2 linked regions of the Sus scrofa genome follow. The protein of the gene in region 1 purifies or fractionates together with the protein of each later gene. This does not show direct contact. Links are inferred from orthologs where the notes say so. Each region holds a gene or a part of one and is shown on either strand. Other genes may lie near its edges. The genes, in order: IRF2 and IRF2BP1.

What was found.
Region 2: the proteins of IRF2 (region 1) and IRF2BP1 purify together in Homo sapiens (affinity purification with mass spectrometry; 4 studies listed by BioGRID and IntAct, counting the BioPlex papers as one, with this or other methods). This does not show direct contact. The link is inferred for Sus scrofa from reciprocal best matches to the Homo sapiens genes IRF2 and IRF2BP1.

The regions. Positions count from the first base shown.
Region 1 is NC_010457.5:45,581,475-45,585,281, reverse strand, and holds part of IRF2 (interferon regulatory factor 2), read left to right. Parts: intron 1-2,560; coding exon 2,561-2,660; intron 2,661-3,690; coding exon 3,691-3,807. UniProt on the Homo sapiens protein: Specifically binds to the upstream regulatory region of type I IFN and IFN-inducible MHC class I genes (the interferon consensus sequence (ICS)) and represses those genes. Also acts as an activator for several genes including H4 and IL7.
Region 2 is NC_010448.4:52,197,274-52,201,755, forward strand, and holds the start of IRF2BP1 (interferon regulatory factor 2-binding protein 1), read right to left. Parts: upstream 2,938-4,482; 5' UTR 1,593-2,937; coding exon 1-1,592. UniProt on the Homo sapiens protein: Acts as a transcriptional corepressor in a IRF2-dependent manner; this repression is not mediated by histone deacetylase activities. May act as an E3 ligase towards JDP2, enhancing its polyubiquitination. Represses ATF2-dependent transcriptional activation.

The sequences.
Region 1 (3,807 bases):
TAAGGAGTCACTCCCCAATTCTCCTTTCCCTAGTTCATGGCAACCAGTGATGTGCTTTCTGTCTCTTTGGATTTGCCTTTTCTGGATATTTCATATAAATAGAATGATTCCCTTTATGGCCTTTTGTGGACAGTGTCTTTCGCTTGGCACAGAGTTTTCAAGGTTCATCCCTACTGTAGCCAGTTTCAATACCGGTTTTTTTTGTGGCTGAATAATATTTCGTTTTATGCATATACAACACGTTCTTATCTCTTCTGTTGGTTGATGGACCTTTTGCCTATTGTGAGTAGTGCTGCTATGAACATTCATGTGTCAATATTTGCATGGAAAGCTGGTTGGAATTCTTTGAGTGAAATTACTGGATCATGTGGTAATTTGTGTTAATTTTTTTGAGAAACAGCCAAAGTGATTTCCAGAGTGGTTGTGGTGTTTTACACTCACACTAGCAGTGTGAGGGTTCTAGTTTCTCCACATCTTGCCAACACTGATTTTTTTCTGTTTTTGTTTTGTTTTGTTTTTAATTCTAGCCATCCTAATGGGTTTAAAATGCTCTCCCATTGCTGTTTTGATTTCCATTTGCCTAATGACTAGTGATGAGCACTTTTCGTGTGCTTCTTGGCCATTTCTTTATCTTCTTTGGAAAAATATCTGTTCAGGTCCTTCGGCCATTTCAAGAGGGTCCTTGGAGGATAATTGCTAGGTTCAGTCATTACTTTTGGATTCATGATTTGAGTGTGGTTCCTGGGCGACTAGGTTTGAGGATGTGTGTGTGTGCGCGCGCGTGTGTGCGAGTGCACATGTGTGCTCTGAACACGCAAATACTTGAAAAGATTTATTCATCACAATGAATTTTGTATCTTAGGGGATAGATTTCAGATTATGTCACCCCAGATCTCCTTTGACCTAGAAAAAAAGTACAACAGCAAATTCTTTAAGGGTCTCTATCTTTAAGGCATAAACCTTTAGATTCTGATGGTGCACTTCAGGAAAAATTCATTCGCTGAGATAAATTCATTTTCAAAAAGTTTTTCCGTCTTATGTGCATGTCCAAAACTGCACTGAGTGATTTTCCTCTCTGACTTTCATATATATTAAAAAAAAAAAAAATTCACCCAGCCTTCTTCTGATTAACTGCCCTTTGAAAAATGGTGAACCTGAAACCCTCCTCTTTCTGTGGACGATACAGCCTGAACATGCAGAGATTTATGAAAAACCTCTCGCTTTCAGTTCTTCTTTGTTGACGAAGTTTTAAATACATAAATTTTCCCCTTTAACAGTTCTGGGGAGTCCTCAAATGTTCTGGCGTATTTTTAGTTCAGGCTTTATAACTGGCTCTGAGGAGAGGAGCCGAGCCCCTTTTGGGTTGGTGGGGACCCCTTTTCTTTCATTGTGTGACACTAAAGTGGTGGAAAATTCCTACTAACATTTTCTTTCCTGCTCCAGGGTATTGTGCAGAGATCTCCAGACCTAGAAATGATCAGACCTACCTTGAGAGCTTAAAAAAATTAGTTTCCCTAGGCTTTAATCTCCAGGGAATCCAAGTGAGCAGATTTATTGTAAGACAGGGCAATCTTCTAAATCCAGTCCCTGGGAGACATTGGGTGGTGTAAGTGACTTGAGTCTGGGATCACATGACCTTGGTTTTGAACTTAGACCCTTGGCTAGATAATTTATTTATGAGAGTGCCTCTGTTTCCTCAACTGGAAAGCGGAAATGATAATATAATCACAGTAGTTTGTTAGGGTGTTGCAGAAACCAAAACCGAGACCATGTAAACATGCAAAGTGAACCAGGTTTCACAAAATTAGTTTTACTACAAGTGTCACTTTGTTCCCAAAGTACTAGTTTCTAGACCTATGTTTGCCAGGGTCAATTTAAGCAATTCTGAGTCCCCTCTTGGGATGTAAGAGCGAGGAGGAGGTTCTGCTATAAGAAGAATTGAATTAAGGGACTTTGCTCCAGAAAAGGAGCATCTTCTTCATGTAATTGACACATCTTTCTTTGCATGTGTTGCTGTTTCGTGCGGAGTGGTAGACACAGAGGGGTTAGAACAAAATCTATTTCTGTTGGCTGCTCAAGCAGATATTAAGTCTTGACAATGGCCTTGGACACCCCGACTTCCCATTAACAGCAAAATGGTATTATTTTGGAGAGTTGCCTAATTTTTAATTTACCTAAGGCAGCTGGAGTTCCTCTTTATCAAGTGATGGAAATAAGTCATAAGAGTAATTAAGCATTGGAAGTTTCAGTAAGTGCTCAGTTTCCTGTGGTCCTCTACGGGAAAGGAGGCCCAGGTAACAGAACACATGGGCATATCCCAGATCATCACTGTTGACCTTGGTATACATTCCTATTCTACCAGACTCCATATGCCTTTCTCCACATGTCTGGTGGACTGTCAAGGGTTGGGGTCCAGGGGGAAAGTGGGTTTACAGTAGATATTCAGCAAACCCCAGTGGTACTTACTTACTGGAGAATCTTGTTAGCTAGGACCAAAGAACCTTCTGCAGTGGTGGCCTGAAACCCATGTCTACGTTTCTTAATTACTTTTATTTTTCAGGAAAAGAAGATTTTTCAGATCCCCTGGATGCATGCAGCTAGACATGGGTGGGATGTGGAAAAAGATGCACCACTCTTTAGAAACTGGGCCATCCATACAGGTATCAACCCCGTGTTGTTTGTAGAGGCTGGCACTGTTGCTTTTGCCGTTGTGGTTTTCATGCCTTTTTAAGAATTGAGCTGTGGGTGTTCCCTCATGGTGGGGCAGGTTAAGAATCTGGCGTCATCACTGCTGTGGCTCTGGTTACAGCTGTGGTGTGGATTCGATTCCTGGCACGGGAACGTCCACGTGCTGTGGGCATGTCCAAAAAATAAATAAATAAAAATTGACGTATAAATTGTAAGGTATTTAAAGTATATATATTTGTGTATGTGTGAGAACATTTAAGTTCTACTGTCTTGGCAAACTTCAGTTATACAGTAAGACTGTTAGCTATTGTTTATGTTTATTTTTACTACCTATGTAAAATCTCCTGGCTTTTAGAGTCAAGATGTAGCTCCGAAAAACCTGTGACTTGTCCCCAGGCGCATCTGGCACATGTCGCAGGGGTGCAGATCTCATCACTCAGAAGCGATGCTCCTATTCCCTAGACACTTAGTCCTGAGATTTCCCGTAAATGTGCTATTCAGAAGTTATCCACGTGTGTCCCGGGGAATAGAGAACGACTTGTTCTGGAGCTGGGTTGAATTTATCTCCCCCAGAGGTAGCCGAGATTATATGTACTTATAACAAAATTTAACTAGGAAACTTATTTATAGAATGGATTTTACTTCATGATAAAGAGGCCTTCCACTTACCCGTGCTTGTTGGCCTCCTGACCTTTTCGCTGTCTTTTCTCCTTACTTGGATTTTCCCTTTCTCTACCATCATTCTTTTCTCTTAACCGGGTTTGTAGAACCAGGGTGACCAGTGTGTCCCAGTTTGTTCAGAACTGTTGGGTTTTAAAACACAAATTCCCTCATCCCCGGAACCTTCTCGGCCCTAAACAACCCGGGGCAGTTGGTCACTGTAGGTGTGACCTAGAATTGAAAGCGTTCTCTGTACCACCTGCCCAGCTCTCCTGTTTCCAGAAATTTTGAGTCTCGATCTAATTCCCCCCACAACCTTAATTCTTTCAATTATTTTATTAGGAAAGCATCAACCGGGAGTAGATAAACCTGATCCAAAAACATGGAAGGCGAATTTTCGATGTGCCATGAACTCCTTGCCTGACATTGAAGAAGTCAAGGATAAAAGCATAAAGAAAG
Region 2 (4,482 bases), on another chromosome or scaffold:
GAGCAGGGAAAGCAAAACTTGTGTCCGGGCACTGAGGGGCACTGGACGAAGTGGGTATCTTCCAGCCGCTCCCTGCACAGGGTACAGCACAGGGGGGCCCCAGGGGTCGCTCCAGTACCACTACCACCCCCGCTAACTGCTTCTGCCCCTGCAGTGGGGCTAACTTCTGCCTCACCGTTGCGGGCCACTAGACGATGCTGGGCTGGAGGCTGGGCTGTGGAAGAGGCTGCCGGGCTGGCCCCCCCTGCACGCACAGGGCCGCCACCCCCGGCAGGGTCCTTGGGGGAGTGGCCCAGGGCTTCGGCCACGTTCTTCAGAGCGGCGATGGGTGAGGGCACACCAGGGGTGTCATTGGAGTATGGGCCACCGGGTGCCACCCAGTGTCGCTGCTGCTGCTCCTCCGTGGTCATCTTCCCAGCGGCCTCACCCTCAGGTTCAGGGGATGCCTTGCGACGGCGCGGCGTGGGAGCCAGATTCCGGGATGGGGCTCGTGGGGGTGGGCCACACAGAGCTGCGGGGGCTGGCTCTGGGTATTGCTGCGGTAGGGCCTCGGCGGGAGCTGGCTCTCGGAAGCTGCGGACACCATCGGTTAGCAGCTCCCCCAGCTGGCGCCATTCCCCTGAACCGTGTCGGCGTTCATATTCGAGGTACTTGAAGCCTGATGAGGCCAGTGCCTTGCCTGGCTCCCGCAGAGCATCATGAAACATCTGACGAGCCACGGCCAGGACTCCTGCATACACGTTGCCAGAACCACAGGGGTATTCGGTGAAGAGCTTCAGCTCAAACTCGTAGCCCGGCGGGCGGGCAGTAGCATCGAAGGCGAACACCCGACCCACCAGCCCGTGATCCTTTTTGAAGCGGACATTGAAAGGGGCGCAGGCAGACAGCGCCAGCAGCTGTTCCCGCACAGCTTTGGGGCGCCCATGCCATTCCTCTGCCCGGCCCCTCATGGCCTCATTCAGTTCTGCCAGACAGTCCGCGTTCCTCTGCTGCTTCTCCTTCTCGAAATCGGAGCCGAAGGGTGGACGGGCAGGGCTCAAGCCGGGTGCCAGCGTCAGGCCTCGGCTTCCCAGGCCAGACACCGCAGCTGCCAGCAGCCCGGGGGGCACCAAGCCGGGCATGGAGCCAAGCAGGGCCCTTCGCGCCCCCTCTGCCACAGCCTCCTCGCGGCCCAGCCCATTGGCCAGGCGCGACCCCAAGGTGTACTCCAGGGCGGGCGAGGGGAGTGGGAGGCGACCAGATGATGTGGCCCTGTCATAGCGGTCCTGGCCCGAGACAGCGCCGCCTGCTCCCGATGACTGGGCCTGGGCCTGTGGAGGCGGCAACTGAGGACCCTGTGCGGCGGCGGCAGCTAGGTCCTTAGTGGCCGGGTGCTTGAGGGCCGGGGGCCCCGGCGAGCGGCCCTCGGGGAGCACGTGGCTGCGCTTGAGCTGGCGGGCAGCATCGATGAGCAGCTCGATGCGATCTGCGCCCTCGAAGTTCACGCAGCCGCGGCACACGGCCTCACTGAAGTCCCACACCATGGCCCACGGCATCTTGGGCAGGTCGCACAGGTAGCACCACTGGCGGCGGGACGCCTGCACGGACGCCATAGCCCCCAAACGCGCGCCTTCAGGACCCCTCAATCCACCCGCCGCCGTTCGATCCGCACTGCCGACGTTCGATTTGTGTCCCCAGGACCGCGCGAGCCACAGTCGGGCCTCTGGCTCGGCCTCCCCGCGGATCCAGGCCCGGCCCCCCTTCCCCGCCCCCCGGGCCCTAAGCCTTTTTCCTCACTCCCGCCTCCTCGAAAAGGCAGGCAAAGGTACGTCGGCGCCCCAGCCTGCTCCGGGCTCCGGGCCGAGGCGCACAGCTCGGGCCCCGCGATGGGCCGCGAGCGCCGCCGCCTCGGGCTCCCGCCGCTCCCGCCACCTCCGCTCCAACGGCTGCCACCGCCGCCTCCACCTCCTTCTGCCCCAGAGGCCGTTTCGCAGGGAAAGTTACATAACGCGCCGGCAAAGCCTTCTGGGAAACGTAGTCCCGCCGGGGCCGGCTCTTAAAGGGGACGGCAGGCAGCAGAGGACGGCGCGGGCTCGCCGCTGCGCGACCTTTACCACTCGTCGCCGCGGGGCAGGGAGTTTGGCTTGCTCCGAGCATTTCGAGCACAAGGGTTGGAAACAGGGATGTGATACAAATGGCGAGCGCCACGACGGACTCAAAAATTGTAGGAGGTGGACAGGCTTCCGGGCATCCAGCTTCTGTTCCGACTTGCTGTGCGGCTTTAGGCAAAAATCTTGCCTTCTCTGAAGCTCAATTCCCGCCCTTCAAAGGTGGGCCAATGACTGGCTACGGAGGCAGTCGCTCCTGGGGCGGGGCGGAGGGGTCTTGATTGGAAGGTTTCAGGACAGGGGGACGGGAAGCAGGCAACTTAAGCGTTGGGCAGGGCTGTTCACTTGGCACTTCTTCTTGCCCCAAATCTTGAATGGCAGCCTCTGATTGGAGCCAGCAACATCCGGAGAAAGGAGAGAACTGAAGTTGCCAGCCTCAGCTGCCTTATCTGCTGAAGGGAGTGGTGGGGCGCCCCCAATTCTGTTCCAGCCCTGCCAAAGCGCTCTGGTCTCCAAAGGGTTACACCGTCAGTGTCACCGCCCCCCTCCCAACTTCACTACAATTCCCAAAATGCCCTGCGGGGCCAACAAGCTGACGCACTTCCGCAGTCTGGAAGGTTGGGGGAGGCCTTCCCGATTCCCGCTGTCTGTCCTTACAGTCCCCCCCCCCCCCCCCAGCGCGCGCGCAATTTATGGAAGGTGTTTCCATGTTTTCCCAGCACCAAATTGAAAGGACCCTCACCCTGTATGGCTCATTAATGTTGAGGAAGGGAAGGAGGGCAGGGATGGCAAAGTTGGGGGTGGGGGGTGCTTAGTTTCTGGGGAGAACAAGAGCTAGACCACCCTTCTCCAACCCTGATTGCTTACTACCATCTAGGCCTATGCAGGCTATGGGGACCCCCGTGTTTTCTTCCTGGCGACCGCACCCCGCAGGGCAGGCTTGGAAGCGTGGGTATGTGGAGGGTGGAGAAGGGTCTCCAGACTCTAACCCACGTCAGCCTCTTCCCCTCTTTAGGCCTAGGTTCCTGTTAAGCGCTCAAAAATATTTTGAATTATTTGTGAGTTGCACTCATTAGTGGTTTTCAAACTAATCAGGGAATACCTGCCAACTCTCCCTTATTCCACTGCAACCATAGCAGGTCTGATTTGCAGTCTCAGCTTCACAATTTTGTTCACGACTTGTATTATTTTGACATTTTTCTTGAAGTTGATTCCCGAGAAAAAGAAGTTTATTTCTGCTCCATCCTAAGCAGTATGTGCATAATCATGGGTTGGATTTTTTTTTTTTTTTTTTTTTGGTCTTTTTGCTATTTCTTGGGCCACTCCCGTGGCATATGGAGGTTCCCAGGCTAGGGGTCGAATCGGAGCCATAGCCACCAGCCTACGCCAGAGCCACAGCAACGCGGGATCGGAGCTGCGTCTGCAACCTACACCACAGCTCACGGCAACGCCGGATCATTAACCCACTGAGCAAGGGCAGGGATCGAACCCGCAACCTTATGGTTCCTAGTCGGATTCGTCAACCACTGCGCCACGACGGGAACTCCCATAATCATGGGTTTTATGTACTATACTTTTTTGTGTGTGCTGTACACATTTTTATAAAATAAGTTAAAATTACGTATATATGGAGTTCCTGTCGTGGCTCAACAGTAACAAACCCGACTAGTATTCATAAGGATGCCAGTTCGATCCCTAGCCAGGCTCAGAGGGTTAAAGATCCGGCATTGCCACAAGTTGCAGCATAGGTTGCAGATGGGGCTCCAATCTGGCGTTGTTGCGGCATAGGGCAGTAGCTGCACCTCTGATTTGACCCCTAGCCTGGGAACTTCCACATGTTGCAGGTGCGGCCTTTAAAAAAAAAAAAAAAAGCAAAAAATAAATAAACGAACAACAAAAAAAACCTGTGTACATATAGAGCCATTAAAAAGGCCATCCATGTATCTCCTAAAATTGTCTTTGGGCCTTTTTTTTTTTTTTTTTTTTTTTTTTTTTTTTTTGGTCTTTTTGCTTTCTCTAGGGCTGCTTCCTGTGGCATATGGAGGCTAGGGATGGAACTGGTGCCATAGCAGTGACCCAAGCTACTGCAGTGATAACCCTGGATCCTTAACCAGCTTTAGTTAACAGTAGTGGGAGTAAGGAGTTTTGGCCAGATGCTGCCTTGAGATGAACTGGATTGTCACCGGACAAATTTAGGGCAAGTCTCTAAACTTCTCAGGAAAAAAATGAAGACCCCGTAGAATCTGCTTTTCATCGAGTACCTTCAGGTTAAAATGCAAACATGCATATAAATGCTTAGCTTGGTGCCTGGCCCAGAAAAGGAATACTATAAATGTGAGTTGTCTCTAAGTTCCCATTACTTCAAAGATTCACACTCTACGTTGGGCGATGCTGA